3 linked regions of the Alligator mississippiensis genome follow. The protein of the gene in region 2 interacts with the protein of the main gene of each other region in a pairwise test. Links are inferred from orthologs where the notes say so. Each region holds a gene or a part of one and is shown on either strand. Other genes may lie near its edges.

Region 1 (3,738 bases), on a different chromosome or scaffold from region 2:
CCCTCGGCTGTGCCGCCGTTCTCCTTTCTGTCGTCGTTTTGGTTGTAGCTTCTGCCGTCGGAGCCAGCCTCGACGGAGCCTGGTCGGAAACGGGCGGCTACGGAAGAGGGCTCGACGGACTCGGATGAAGCCTTGAGGTGAGAAGCTAACGCTGCCCGGCCCTCCTTCGCATGTTTGAGCTGCTTTATTGGTGCTGTTGGCAGCGCTCTGACGCGGGGAGAGGCGACGTGTTGCGTGTCCCGGCTCCTGGCAGGGCCCTTGCAGCTCCGCTGCGCGTCGCGGCGTGATCCCTGCGCGGCTGGAGGCCTTGCTTTCCCCTCCGTGCTGTTTTCAGGAAGAGATTTCAGTCCTGGGCTCTTTGGGCTAACTAGTCTCGTCGAGCTTCCTGGTTCGTGCTTTGTTGTGAACACAAAAGGCTCAGCCCAGATCAAAGGCTGCAACTGGAACAATCTGAAATGAAAGTGCTTTGAGGGTGGTTTTTGTGACGGTTCGGAGCGGGCAACATCAGGTGCGCTCTAGTCCTGCCATCACACGCACAGGGCTGGGCCGCGGCGCGGCAGGGCGCGTCTTGCTCTGTCCCTCGGGCCTCGCCGCCCCTTCTGCGCGCGGGCCGCGGCGGTCAGCGCTGGGCCTTGCGCTGCTGGGCCGTGCCGGGGGTGGGGTGGGGAGCCCGCCTGGGGACCGGCCTTCAGACCGGGCGCTCTCGTAGACTGAACCGCAGGCGTGCGCACCGCTGCGCTGCTATGGAGCTAGCATGTATTTTTCTTTTCGCTTGCAGCAAGAAGCAGTCATTTTAGATAGAACAAAGAGGAACAGGATTGTCCCCAAACTGCTCCGTGCTTGGTGGTAGACGGATTACTCCCTGAGGGCAGGGGGCCGGGGCGGCGAGCACCCCCGCAGCGCGGGCGCTTGCTCCGGCCTCGGGGCGCCCTGCCCTTCCCTTCCCCTTCCCGGCGGCCTGGAGCCGGAGCCGGAGCCGGAGCCCCTCCTGGCTGGAGCAAGGCCGGCGCTGGCGGGAGGGGCTTGGAGGCGGACGCCTGAAGTAACAGAACAAGGCAGCCCCCGCCGGCCTCGGCCTCGGCCTCGGCCTGTAGCCTCGGGGAGAAGCGTGGCAGCAGCGCGGCTCTGCCCGGGGCAGCACGCGGGGCCAGGCCCGGGCCGGGGCTCCCGCCAGCAAGCGGCAACGCGCTGGTGCCAGCCGGCCCACACACGGCCTCGCGGGCCCACGGGCGGGCGGGACTCGGTCTAGCAAGAGCCCGGCGCTGCACAACCCTTCGCACCCCGCCGGGGCCGGGGCCGGGGCCGGGGCGAGGCGGGAGGGGGCTGCGGGCCGCCTCGCGCCGCTGCGGGAGCCCGGGCCGGGCCCGTGGGCCGCACACGTGCCGGAGGCGGAGGCGGAGGCGGGGCCGCTTGGGAGCGGCAGGTGGAGGCGGCTGGGTCTGCCCCGCCCGGGCCTGCTGGGCTCGGCTCCGCTCCGCCCGGCTCCGCTCCGCCTCTTGGCGCGGCCCGCGGGCTGACGGGGCGCCCCGTGTGCAGTGGCGCGGCCCGCGGGGAAGGCGCCGCGCAGCCCGGCCGAGCCGAGCGGAGCGGTGCGGTGCGGTGCGGTGCGGAGCGGCGGCGATGCGGGTGTGCTGGTGGCGGCGGCGGCGGCCCGGCGCGGCGCGCGGCCTGTGAGGAGCGGCGGGGCCATGGGGCCGCGGGCGGCGGCGGCGGCGGCGCTGGCGGTGGCCGTGGTGCTGGGGGCCTGGTGTGGACACGGCCGCGGCGACAGTGAGTGCGGGCCGGGGGAGGGCGGCGGCGGCGCGTCCCTGGGCCGGGCCGGGCCGGGCCGGGCCGGGCCCACCAGCGCAGCGGCCGCCGCCGGGTGTTGAGCCCGCGGCGCGGTGGGTCAGGGCGGGCTCGGGCCGCGGGCTCCCGCACTGTCCCCGGCGCCCTGCTCCACGGGCGCGGCCCCCACCCCACCCCACCCCACCCCGGCACAGGTCCATGCACACACGGCGCTGCCGCTCGCTCGCTCGCTCGCTCTCGGGCCCGGGGGCCGGTGTCCTGCTCCGGGCCAGCCGGCCGGCCGGCCGCGCACAGGTGGGGAGACGAGGGGCGATGGTGCCCGCCCGCCCGCGGCAGCGCCGTGTGCCTCTCCCCGTCGGTCCCATGTGTTTCGGGGCACCGGGAGCTCTCCGAAGGTGAGGGCCCGCATTGAAGGCTTTGGGATGGCTGGCTACAGGTGGCTGCGGCGTGGGTTGAAAACAGCCAGCTTCTCAAATGCAAAGACCTGAGCGTGTTGGAGGGCGACAGCGCGCACGCCTGCCCACACGCGCACAGAGCTCTTGTGCAAATTGACGCACGACACTCTGGAGAGCGAGCTCTGGCGCGACGGCTGCCCCTGCCGCCTGCCTTGCCCTGACACACACGTCTCCTGCGCGACGTCCCGCGCGCGTCGCGGACGGCAGGGAGAGTCTACGCCGCAGGGACGCGCACGGGTTGCTCCTGATCCCCGCGCTGGACTCGTGTCGCTGCAGTCTTGTGTTCGCCAAGCTTCTCACGAGAGTCTTGCACGCGGCCTGGCTGTACGGGGAGTTTCAGTCCGGAGGAAAGCTTCCTTCCCTGGAGGTTAAGGCGGGCCGTCGCCATCGCTCTGATCCCAGCCTGCCTCGGCGCGCTCGTGGGACTCCTCGAAGCGTCCCCGTAGCGTGGGCCGCTGCCCTCGGCGCGCTGTGCTTGCGGGCGGACCGGGAGCGGCGGGATGAAAAGCCCGTGTGGCCAAGGACTACCTGCCGAGCCCGGAGGCAGCTGGCGGGGAAGGGCTGTCGGGCTTGCCCTGCCTCGGGCTCGGTGGGGTGGGTGGCCCTCGGCGGACCGGCTCTCGAACGCCTTGCCCAGTACACGCGGGGATGCCCGTTGCTCCGGCCTGCCCTTCGCTTTCACGGAGACGAGCGTAACAGAGGCGTTCTTATTTCTCCGACAACCCTAAAAGCGGTAGCAGCTCCCAGGGCTCAGCTGAGCCTTTCGGGCTGGGCTGCGGAGTCTGCAACCAGCACAGAAGAAGCAGTCTCTTTGTCGGAGGAGGATTGGCCTTGGCTCAGCAGAGGTTTTTTTCCCCTTGCCCAGGAATAAAGACAGCAGCTGCCTGAGAGAGGTCATCTGAGGAGGCCAGGGGCATATAAACAGACTCTCACCTTCATCATAGCCTGGTCTGAGCATGCTTCACTGCCCAGGCCTCGCTAACGGGAGGAAAACAGTGCTTAAAACTAAACCTTGGTGTTTCATTCTTAGATCGTGTTTGTTAAAACAGTATGAAACGGGCCGGACCCCGGGTCTGAGCCCCTCCGGTTGAGGTCTTCCCTGGCCAGTGCCTGCCTCACGTCCCGTCTCCGCAGGGTGGAGACCATCACTCGAGAGCCACGAGCACTTGTGAAAACCGGACTGAAACTCGCTCGTCGTTTATAGAAGCTCGGCCCCCTTCCCACGTACGATTCCTGGAAACCAGAAGTGCAGGGAAGTGCCAGGGGTTTAGGCTGATCCGAATGGCTGCTGTTATCCACACGCGCGAGCAGGTTTTAAATACTCCAGTCAGCAAAACAAATTGTCTTCATGTGCAGTGCTGGGTTATGCGGGACTCTGGATATGGGCCGGAGCCTGTTGCGGCGAGTCGTTAGGGCTTGTTGTTCGCCGTTAAGCCAAGTGTCAGTCGTAGTTCTCCCCATTAGACACTACCTTGAAACCTACAGTCTGACATCG
Region 2 (3,738 bases):
GGGGCTGCAAGTCAGAAGTGAGAGACATCGCTGGGGGAGGCTGTTGATTAGAAATAAAAAGTGCTGCTGGGAGGGGGTTCTGTGGGTTGGGAACGAGAAGCGTGGCTGTGGGGGGCCAGAGGACAGAAGTGTGGGGCACTGCTGGGAACTGAGGGCATGTACTCACCCTGGGAGAGCTGCTCGCTGCTGTCGCTGGGCACCAGGGGAGGGTCCCGGCTGGGCAGCCCCCCTGTGTGGTGGTTGAGGAACGGGGGGTCCGCACTGCCCATCTCCTCCCTGCAAACAGGACACCGCTGTAAGCATGGAGGCATCTATGTGCATAAGACTCCCGCCCACCCAGCATTGCCCCAGCGCCAGAGAGGACCCCAAAACCTGTGCAAGGGTCTAGTGGTATGCGCGGGGGTGGGGGGAAAGGAAGGCCAGGAGAAACCTGGGGAGTGCAGAAAGCTCCTGGAGAAGTCAAAGGGAAAAGTGTCAGGATCTGGAAGAGGAACTAAAATGGGTCGGGGGCCCAGGAAGATCTGAGGGACCGGGGCTACGGCACTCACCTGGGGCTGAGGCAGTCCTGGATGTCAACAAGCCACGAGCGCATCTGTAGTGCATCCACGGTTTCAAGGATAAACTCGCCTGCCAGCCCTGCCTGCCGCAGGGGGCACATAGGGGTCAGACCATGACCCCTAACCTCCACTGCCCCCTGGCGTCACCCTCCTTGCCCCACAAAGCCCCCACACTGGACCCTCCCGCTACCTCCAGCACGAAGGTGTTCTCCCGGTCAGGCATCTCGAGGGGCGTGGTGGCACGAGCGGCCGTCACAGCGCTGCAAGGGACGCTCACCCGCGGCTTAGTCGACTGTAGGGACAGAGAGAAATCAGCGTGAGCGGCCCCACAGCCCCGAGGGCCGAGAGGGGAGCCTCCCACCAAAAGAACCTGGGACTCCAAGTGCTGCTGGTGCCCCTCACTCCTGCCCCACAGCTCCCTAACCACCCACAGCGGCGCCCCTCGCTCCCGACCCGCAGCCCTTTCCTGGCCCCTCACCTTTGGAGGCACGAAGAACTCCAGCAGGAAGCCCTCCCCCTCGCCCTTGCCTGCCTGCCGCAGCAGCAGCCGGCACCTCTGCCAGCGCGGGGGGCGCCCCCCGGCCCCCGCCCCGGCCCCGTCGTCAGCCACAATGTAGTTGAGCAGTCCCTCGCGGCGCACAGCGGGCACGGGGGCGGCAGGGCTGTTACCCAGCGCAGGGGCAGCCCGTCCTAGCCGCAGCCGCTCGAAGCGGTGGGTCCAGCGCTCCCCCTCTGCCCCGCCCGAAGAGTTTGAGTTCGTGTTGCTGCCCCCGGCAGCCCCGTCCTCGGGGCTCCCGGCAGCTGTGGGCGGGGGGGTGTCAGGGGCACTGCGCCACTGCAGGATGCCGCGCACGCTGCCCCGCACAGAGCGCCCCACGCTGCGCAGGGAGAAGCGCTTCTTCAGCTTGGGCTTGGTGCTGGGTGGGGGGACGCCGGCCGCCGCGGAGACGTCCTCGGAGCTGCGTGACTGGCTGCTGGAGAGCCCGGAGGCAGGCGCCAGCTCCCCCGGAGACGAGTCGCTGCAGGTCTCAGCAGGGTCGCCGGAGGGAGGCGCCTCGGCCCCGCGCAGCTCGGCCTGGAAGTGCTCCAGGAAGCTCTGGGCGTAGCGGCGGGAGAAAGCGGCCTCGGCCCCCGGGGCAGCGAAGCGCGGGTTCTCGGCCACGAAGGCGCGGAAGCGCCGGGCGAAGTCCATGGCGGCAGCGCGGGCGTGAGCCTCGCAGAAGTCGCGCCAGCCCGGCGACGAGGGCGGGGGCAGGGCCAGGGCCAAGGGGGCCGGGACCGAGGGGCCGGGGCCCGCAGCCTCGCCGTTCATGACGCCCCCGCTGCCCCCGCTGCTGCGCCCCCTGCGCCGGTGCCGGCTCCTGCGGCAGCCAACCCGGGACAGGCCGGGCGCCAGGGCCCCGCCGGCCACCACCGCCGCCGCGACAGCGAGGACGAGGGCGCAGGCAGCAACGTGGACGCGGCCCCTGCGGAGCCTGGTGCTGGTGCTGGCGCTGCAAGTGCCGAGAGAGGCGCGAAGGCCGTGCTCACCTGCGGGACGGACACACGGACACAAGAGGGGTCTTCCCCACCCAATGCCCCCCGCTCCCGCCCGCAGCCCCACGCAGCGGTGCCCCTCACCCCTGCCCCTCACCATCCCGCCCGGCGGCTGCGGCTGCTCGCGGGTGTCGGCGGCGGCTCGGGGCGCGGGGGGACGTGGGGGGAAGGGGGGGGTCTAGGCCCGGACCCAGCCCACCCGCCGCTTCCGCTGCCGGGTTCCTCCCTTCCCAGCACCCACCGCGACTTCCACTTCCGGGTTACCTTATCCCCAGCGGGGCTGCACAGCAGCGTTTCCAGGTTGATGACGCCATTTCTGCTTGGCGCAGGCGGGGTCGCGGGGCTTCCGGCACCATGGAGAGGAGCTGAGCCGCGGGATAGAGCGGCTTCCGGCAGCCGCCGCGACCATAGAGAGGAGCCTCGCTGGTACCAGAGCGAAAGCGCTGCACCACCGAGAGGCAGGAATGCCTTGACAGAAGAGCGGCCGGGAACCAGAGCCGGGGGTGGGCCTACACGGGCCGGCCGCCGCGCGCATGCGCCATGGTGTGACCAGGACATTTCCGCCCCCCCAAGGAAAAGCCATGGTCGAGCGGCGGCTAGAAGGGCCGATCTCCGGAGCGGCGGCCGAGCCGGCCCCTGCAGGGCAGTCCTCCACAGCCCCTAGGACCTTGCACACGTGCACACACAAGCACACACACACACACACGCGCGCGCACACACACACAAAGCAGCGCGAAGCAGGAGCTGGAGTTAGTTTAAAATTTTAATTTTTTTCGGTTTTTTACATTTTTTTGTATTTTTTTTCCCTTTTTAATTTTTTTTTGTAACTAGGCCCAGGCGCATCGTTCCCGTGGCTGCAGCTCCTGGCCCGGCCTAGCCCGGCCCAGCCCAGCATGGGGAGCAGGGAGCTGGGGGGGGGGCAAAAAACCCAAAGAAACCCCAAAAAAACAAGAACAGCCCACAGGACCACCCCGCCCCCCACTCCCAACAGCAACGGCCCCCCAGCGGCACCCGCCGCAGCCTGACCCCCCTTATAAATTATAGGAAATAAAAGGCTGGCATGGGGGCAGCCGCAGGGGGGCAGTGACTGACATCCGCCAGCCCCACCTCTAAAAACGCCACTCCCCCCTCCCCCCCAAAGGTGCTTGGTGGTGCCCCCTGCTCCCCCAGTGCAATGGGCCGGGCTGGGCCGGGCTGCACTGGACACATCTCAGTTCACAGCCAGGACCGGAGGCGTCAGTTCCCAGGGGGATGGAATGGCAGCTGCTGGGACGGGTGGGACTGAACTGTGGGAAGAGAAGCGGGTATTAGTGGTGGGTATCAGAGGGAGGCCAGAAAGCCCCCTAGGCACCCTCGGGCAGAGCCCCACTCACCTTGATGGTGACCAATATAGGTGTAGGGGGTGGGGGTGGAGGCTGAGAGGGTGGGCACGCCACTCTGGGGCACGCCACCCTGCGGGGGCCCACCATGGGTCTGGGGTGGGTGCAGCAGCATCACCTGGGGCGGATGCGGCGCGCCGGGGTGTGGGGGGGGCGCAGCCGGCAGCCCCGTCTGCACATGGGCCTGCGGGGAGGAGGAGAGCGTGAGTGCGCAGTGGGTACAGGGTGGGGGGAAGGCGCAGCGCAATGTAGGCAGGCAGTACCTG
Region 3 (3,738 bases), on a different chromosome or scaffold from region 2:
TCCTGCCGGGGGCAGAGACAGGCACATGGAGCAGGAGCAACCCATCCAGGGTGGTCCCAGCCCCCCTCTTACCCAACCTCAGTGAGGCTGCAACCCCCATTGCCCCAGGAGGGGAAACTGAGGCACAGGGAGATGGAACCCCAGAGCACCTGCGAGGACCCCAGCCCTGCCCACCATCTGGGATGTCTCTCACGCCCTGCCCCCATGCAATGAGTGCCCCTGCTATTGCTCCCCTGCACCACCCACACAGCTACAAACACCCCAGAGAAGGGGGCACTTACAGAAGGGCAAAAGGGGAGCAAGATCTGCCCCAGCAAGCTGGGCAGGGGGCATCACCGGGGGCACCTGGGCCTTGCCCCAGCTCAGAGCAGCACTTCCCCCCGAGCTGCCTCCCCCTCCCCGAGCCCCAGCTGCCGGCAGATTGAGTTTTGCAGCCGGCATTGCTCTCCAGCGCAGGGACAGCTGTGCCCGATCAATCCCTCGCCCCACGACACACAGGGAGGGGGAGGCCGGTACCCGCGATGCACAGACGGAGGCAGGACAGGCCCCATCTTAGTCCCCAGGACTCACAGGTAGCTGAGCTTGGGGGTGGCGTGGAAGGCGTCCTCGGTGATGGAGTGCAGCCCTGAGCCAGAGATGGTACTACGAGGCAGAGGGACTGCCATGAGCAAGGGGAGGCCACACCCCCCACCCCAGCATCATGGAGGGGGCAATTTGGGGAACCCAGGAGGTCACGTGGATGCACCAGAGCCGGGTGCATGGGAGACCCGAGCACCTGCTGGAGCAGCCTTGAGGCGGCTCTCGATAGCCCCGGGGGCTGGTTCCCAGGGGTTGCATCTCCCTTTGCCCCCCCAGTCTCTGCAGGCTTCATGGGGGAGGTGTATTGGGACAGGGGATCTGCCCCCAACCCGCCCCCTTGCACACGCGCGTGTGACGCGCCAGGGATACTCACAGGTTCTTCAGCTCCCGGAAGGCCTTGATGTCATCCGATGTCAGGCGGCTCAGCGCCCTCTGGTTCTCGATGACCCTGGGAAGCAGCAAGGCCGTGAGCAGGATCGGGCCCCGGGCAGGGTGACAGGAGGCAGGCAGCGCTGGGGGCTGATGGATGGGGCCATAAAGGGGCTTCTTCCCTCATTATTCTGCTCCTCCCAGCTGCTCCAGGCCTGGATGGAGCATCTGTCCCCAGCCGCCGATGCCCCTGCTCTCACTGGGGTGGAGGGCCATGGTGCCTCAGTTTCCCCTGAAACCAGCTTGGGGCTGCATTAGGGCACTTTGCCAGTGGGGCTGTGCTGGGCGCTGGTCCGGGTCCACTCCACAGTGATCCATGTCCCATGGCTGGATTCCCCCTTTGCCTGTGGCCCACAAATAGCAATTCCCTTGCTCCCTGGACCCCCCCACCCCAAGATGTCCCAGCCTTGAACCCAGCACCATCCCCCCCGCCTGCCCCCATGTTCGGGCACCAGGCTCTGCTGCAGGGGTGGTGAATGACTCTTCCCAATGCAAACAGCATTGGGAAACCCCTCGATAACCTTCTACAAACCACAGAGGAAGGGAGAAGGGTCCCGATCCCCCAGACCCATGCGAATCCCCTGGGGCTCAGGACCCCGCAGCCCGGGGCGACTTTCCTGGGCTCCATCTCAGGGGCTGGGCCCTGGGTTTTTCCTGGGAGCCTCTGCCCCACCCAGCCTCCATCCCCGTGCCCGAGCAGGGTGGGGCAGCTGCATCACGAGGCTAGAGGGTGAGTCCTGGGTGCGGATCTCAGGGCCTTGCTCCTGTTCTGCGTGGCACCGCGGCCCCTTGGGTGGGATGAGCTGGGGGGTGACAGCTGCCTGGGGTAAGGGGGATGTCCCCTGGCATGGATGCATGGGGCTCAGGAGAGGCCATAAATGCAGCACACAAAGCCGCCTGCACGTGGGGCAGGCAGAGGAGCCCACTCTGGAAGTGCCCTGCCCCTCCCAGCCGCTGCGCAACAAAGGCCTGGCAGCGCCCGCCAGGTTCAGCCCCACCCCAGAAAGGGAAACCGAGGCATGGCCCCAGCCAAGGGGAGCTGGCAAGCCGGGGATGGGATTCGAGGGCCCAAAAGCCAGTGAAGGAACCCAAGTGTCCAGTCTCCCATAGACCTTGCGCCCCTCCCGGAGCTGGGAGCAGAACCCAAGTGTCCGGGCTGCCAGCCTCCCCCTTACCATGTCTGTCCCCCAGGGCACAAGGGGCTGGTGGTGGCCACATGCCTGGTGGTGCTGGGAGCTGCAGCGGGAAGGGGGGCTGGCTCCCATGGCCACCTCCCCACTACCAGCCCTGCCCTGCCCTGCCCTGTCCATCCCTGGCTTTGCCCAGGGTGGATGCAGGGTGGGGGGCAAGGAGCAGGAGCAACCCTGAGCACAACGCCTGGGCACGGGACTGCTCCCACGGCTCCAAGGTGGCCAGGGATGACGGCAGCCCACCCCCCAGGGCCTGAGCCTAGCTGGGGGTGCCCCTCCACTGCCGGCACGATGTCTCCTAGGGATGGAGCAGAGTAGGGGGCACAGACCAGGGGAGGCTGGCTGTGACCCCACCCTGGGCACTCCCAAGCCCTCCTGATCTCCTGGGTCTCCAGCTCCCCACCTGGCCTGCCTCCCCCACACCCCCGAGGTACTCACACGTCGGTGAAGTTCTCCGTCCCTGCCAGCTCTGCCAGGCTGCGGAGGCCACTGGGCTCCAGGCACTGGAGCTGGAGGGTCCCGAAGCACCTGCAGCCCCTGGGGCAGGGGCTGGCACAGCCCAAGGGCAGGAGCAGGCAGCACAGCGGAAGCAGCCAGGCGGGCAGCATGGTGGGCCCCGGTGCCCGGAGCGGGTCCCCAGCGCTCCGTGCACCTGCTGCCCGGGCAGGCGGTGGCCAGCATGGGTGTGCAGGCATCTGCCCGGCTTAAAGGCAACGGCATGTCCAGCCTTGCAGGGAGGAGCTTGTCAGAGCCCTCCTCCCTAGACAGCTGCAGCCAGCCCAGCCCAGCCCAGCCCAGCCCAGGCAGGAGCTGTCCAACATCTGGGCACCCCTGGGCACAGCCCCTGGGCACCAAGGGGAGATTTGGATTGAAGGGAGCATTGCAGGGAACAGGCCCCATTGCAAGGGAGTGGGGGTGTACAGCAGGGAAAGTGGGTCCAACTCCCCACAGCTGTAGGGGGATGAGAAGGGGGCTGCAGGTCGGCAGCGAGGGGCACCGGCATGGCTGGGCTGAAGGGATTGCAGATGTGGGGGCTGTGGGTCAGGAGTGAGGGGCACCAGCACAGTTGGAGTGGGGGGATTGCAGATGGGGGGACTGTGGGTCAGGAGTGAGGGGCACTGGCACAGCTGGGGTGGGGGGCATCAGCAGAGCAGGAGAGGAGCCCCCACCCCAGCCTGGGACCCATGCATACACGTGCACACATGATGCAGCTCCCCACAACTTCCCCCAGTGCCACCACAGTACCTTCCTCAGCTTCCCCCAGCCAGGCACCTTGGCGGTCTGAACCCCCAGCCTCCAAACACACAACTGTGCTCCTCGTGGCCTCATCCAAGCCCAAACCCACAGCACTGCCCTTGCCATGGGGCCTTGCCCCACCTCCAACACACACAAGCCACCTGGCTGCTCCCCAGAGGTGGCTGCATTTCAGCCAAGGGGAGGCCTGGCTGGCTGCATTCTGCACCCCCACCCCCCTGGGGTCCTGAGCTCTGCTCCTCTGGGACCCTGGCTGAGGCCATCGCAGAACCCACAGGCTATGCTC

The links.
Region 1: the proteins of SH2B1 (region 2) and INSR interact in binary tests that used the Homo sapiens proteins (3 or more experiments, as listed by UniProt). The link is inferred for Alligator mississippiensis from reciprocal best matches to the Homo sapiens genes SH2B1 and INSR.
Region 3: the proteins of SH2B1 (region 2) and NTRK1 interact in a two-hybrid assay, tested with the Homo sapiens proteins (2 studies listed by BioGRID). The link is inferred for Alligator mississippiensis from reciprocal best matches to the Homo sapiens genes SH2B1 and NTRK1.

The regions. Positions count from the first base shown.
Region 1 is NC_081839.1:653,527-657,264, forward strand, and holds the start of INSR (insulin receptor), read left to right. Parts: upstream 1-1,487; 5' UTR 1,488-1,688; coding exon 1,689-1,770; intron 1,771-3,738. UniProt on the Homo sapiens protein: Receptor tyrosine kinase which mediates the pleiotropic actions of insulin.
Region 2 is NC_081830.1:185,220-188,957, forward strand, and holds the start of SH2B1 (SH2B adapter protein 1), read right to left. Parts: upstream 2,443-3,738; 5' UTR 2,358-2,442; intron 2,308-2,357; exon of another isoform or gene 2,191-2,307; intron 2,088-2,190; 5' UTR 1,870-2,087; coding exon 1,036-1,869; intron 850-1,035; coding exon 748-849; intron 641-747; coding exon 549-640; intron 277-548; coding exon 167-276; intron 1-166. Other genes in the region: ATXN2L (ataxin-2-like protein), read right to left, coding at 3,330-3,379, 3,467-3,656, 3,736-3,738. UniProt on the Homo sapiens protein: Adapter protein for several members of the tyrosine kinase receptor family.
Region 3 is NC_081838.1:16,615,841-16,619,578, forward strand, and holds the start of NTRK1 (high affinity nerve growth factor receptor), read right to left. Parts: upstream 2,905-3,738; 5' UTR 2,894-2,904; coding exon 2,637-2,893; intron 1,028-2,636; coding exon 953-1,027; intron 643-952; coding exon 571-642; exon of another isoform or gene 552-570; coding exon of another isoform or gene 517-551; intron 3-516; coding exon 1-2. UniProt on the Homo sapiens protein: Receptor tyrosine kinase involved in the development and the maturation of the central and peripheral nervous systems through regulation of proliferation, differentiation and survival of sympathetic and nervous neurons.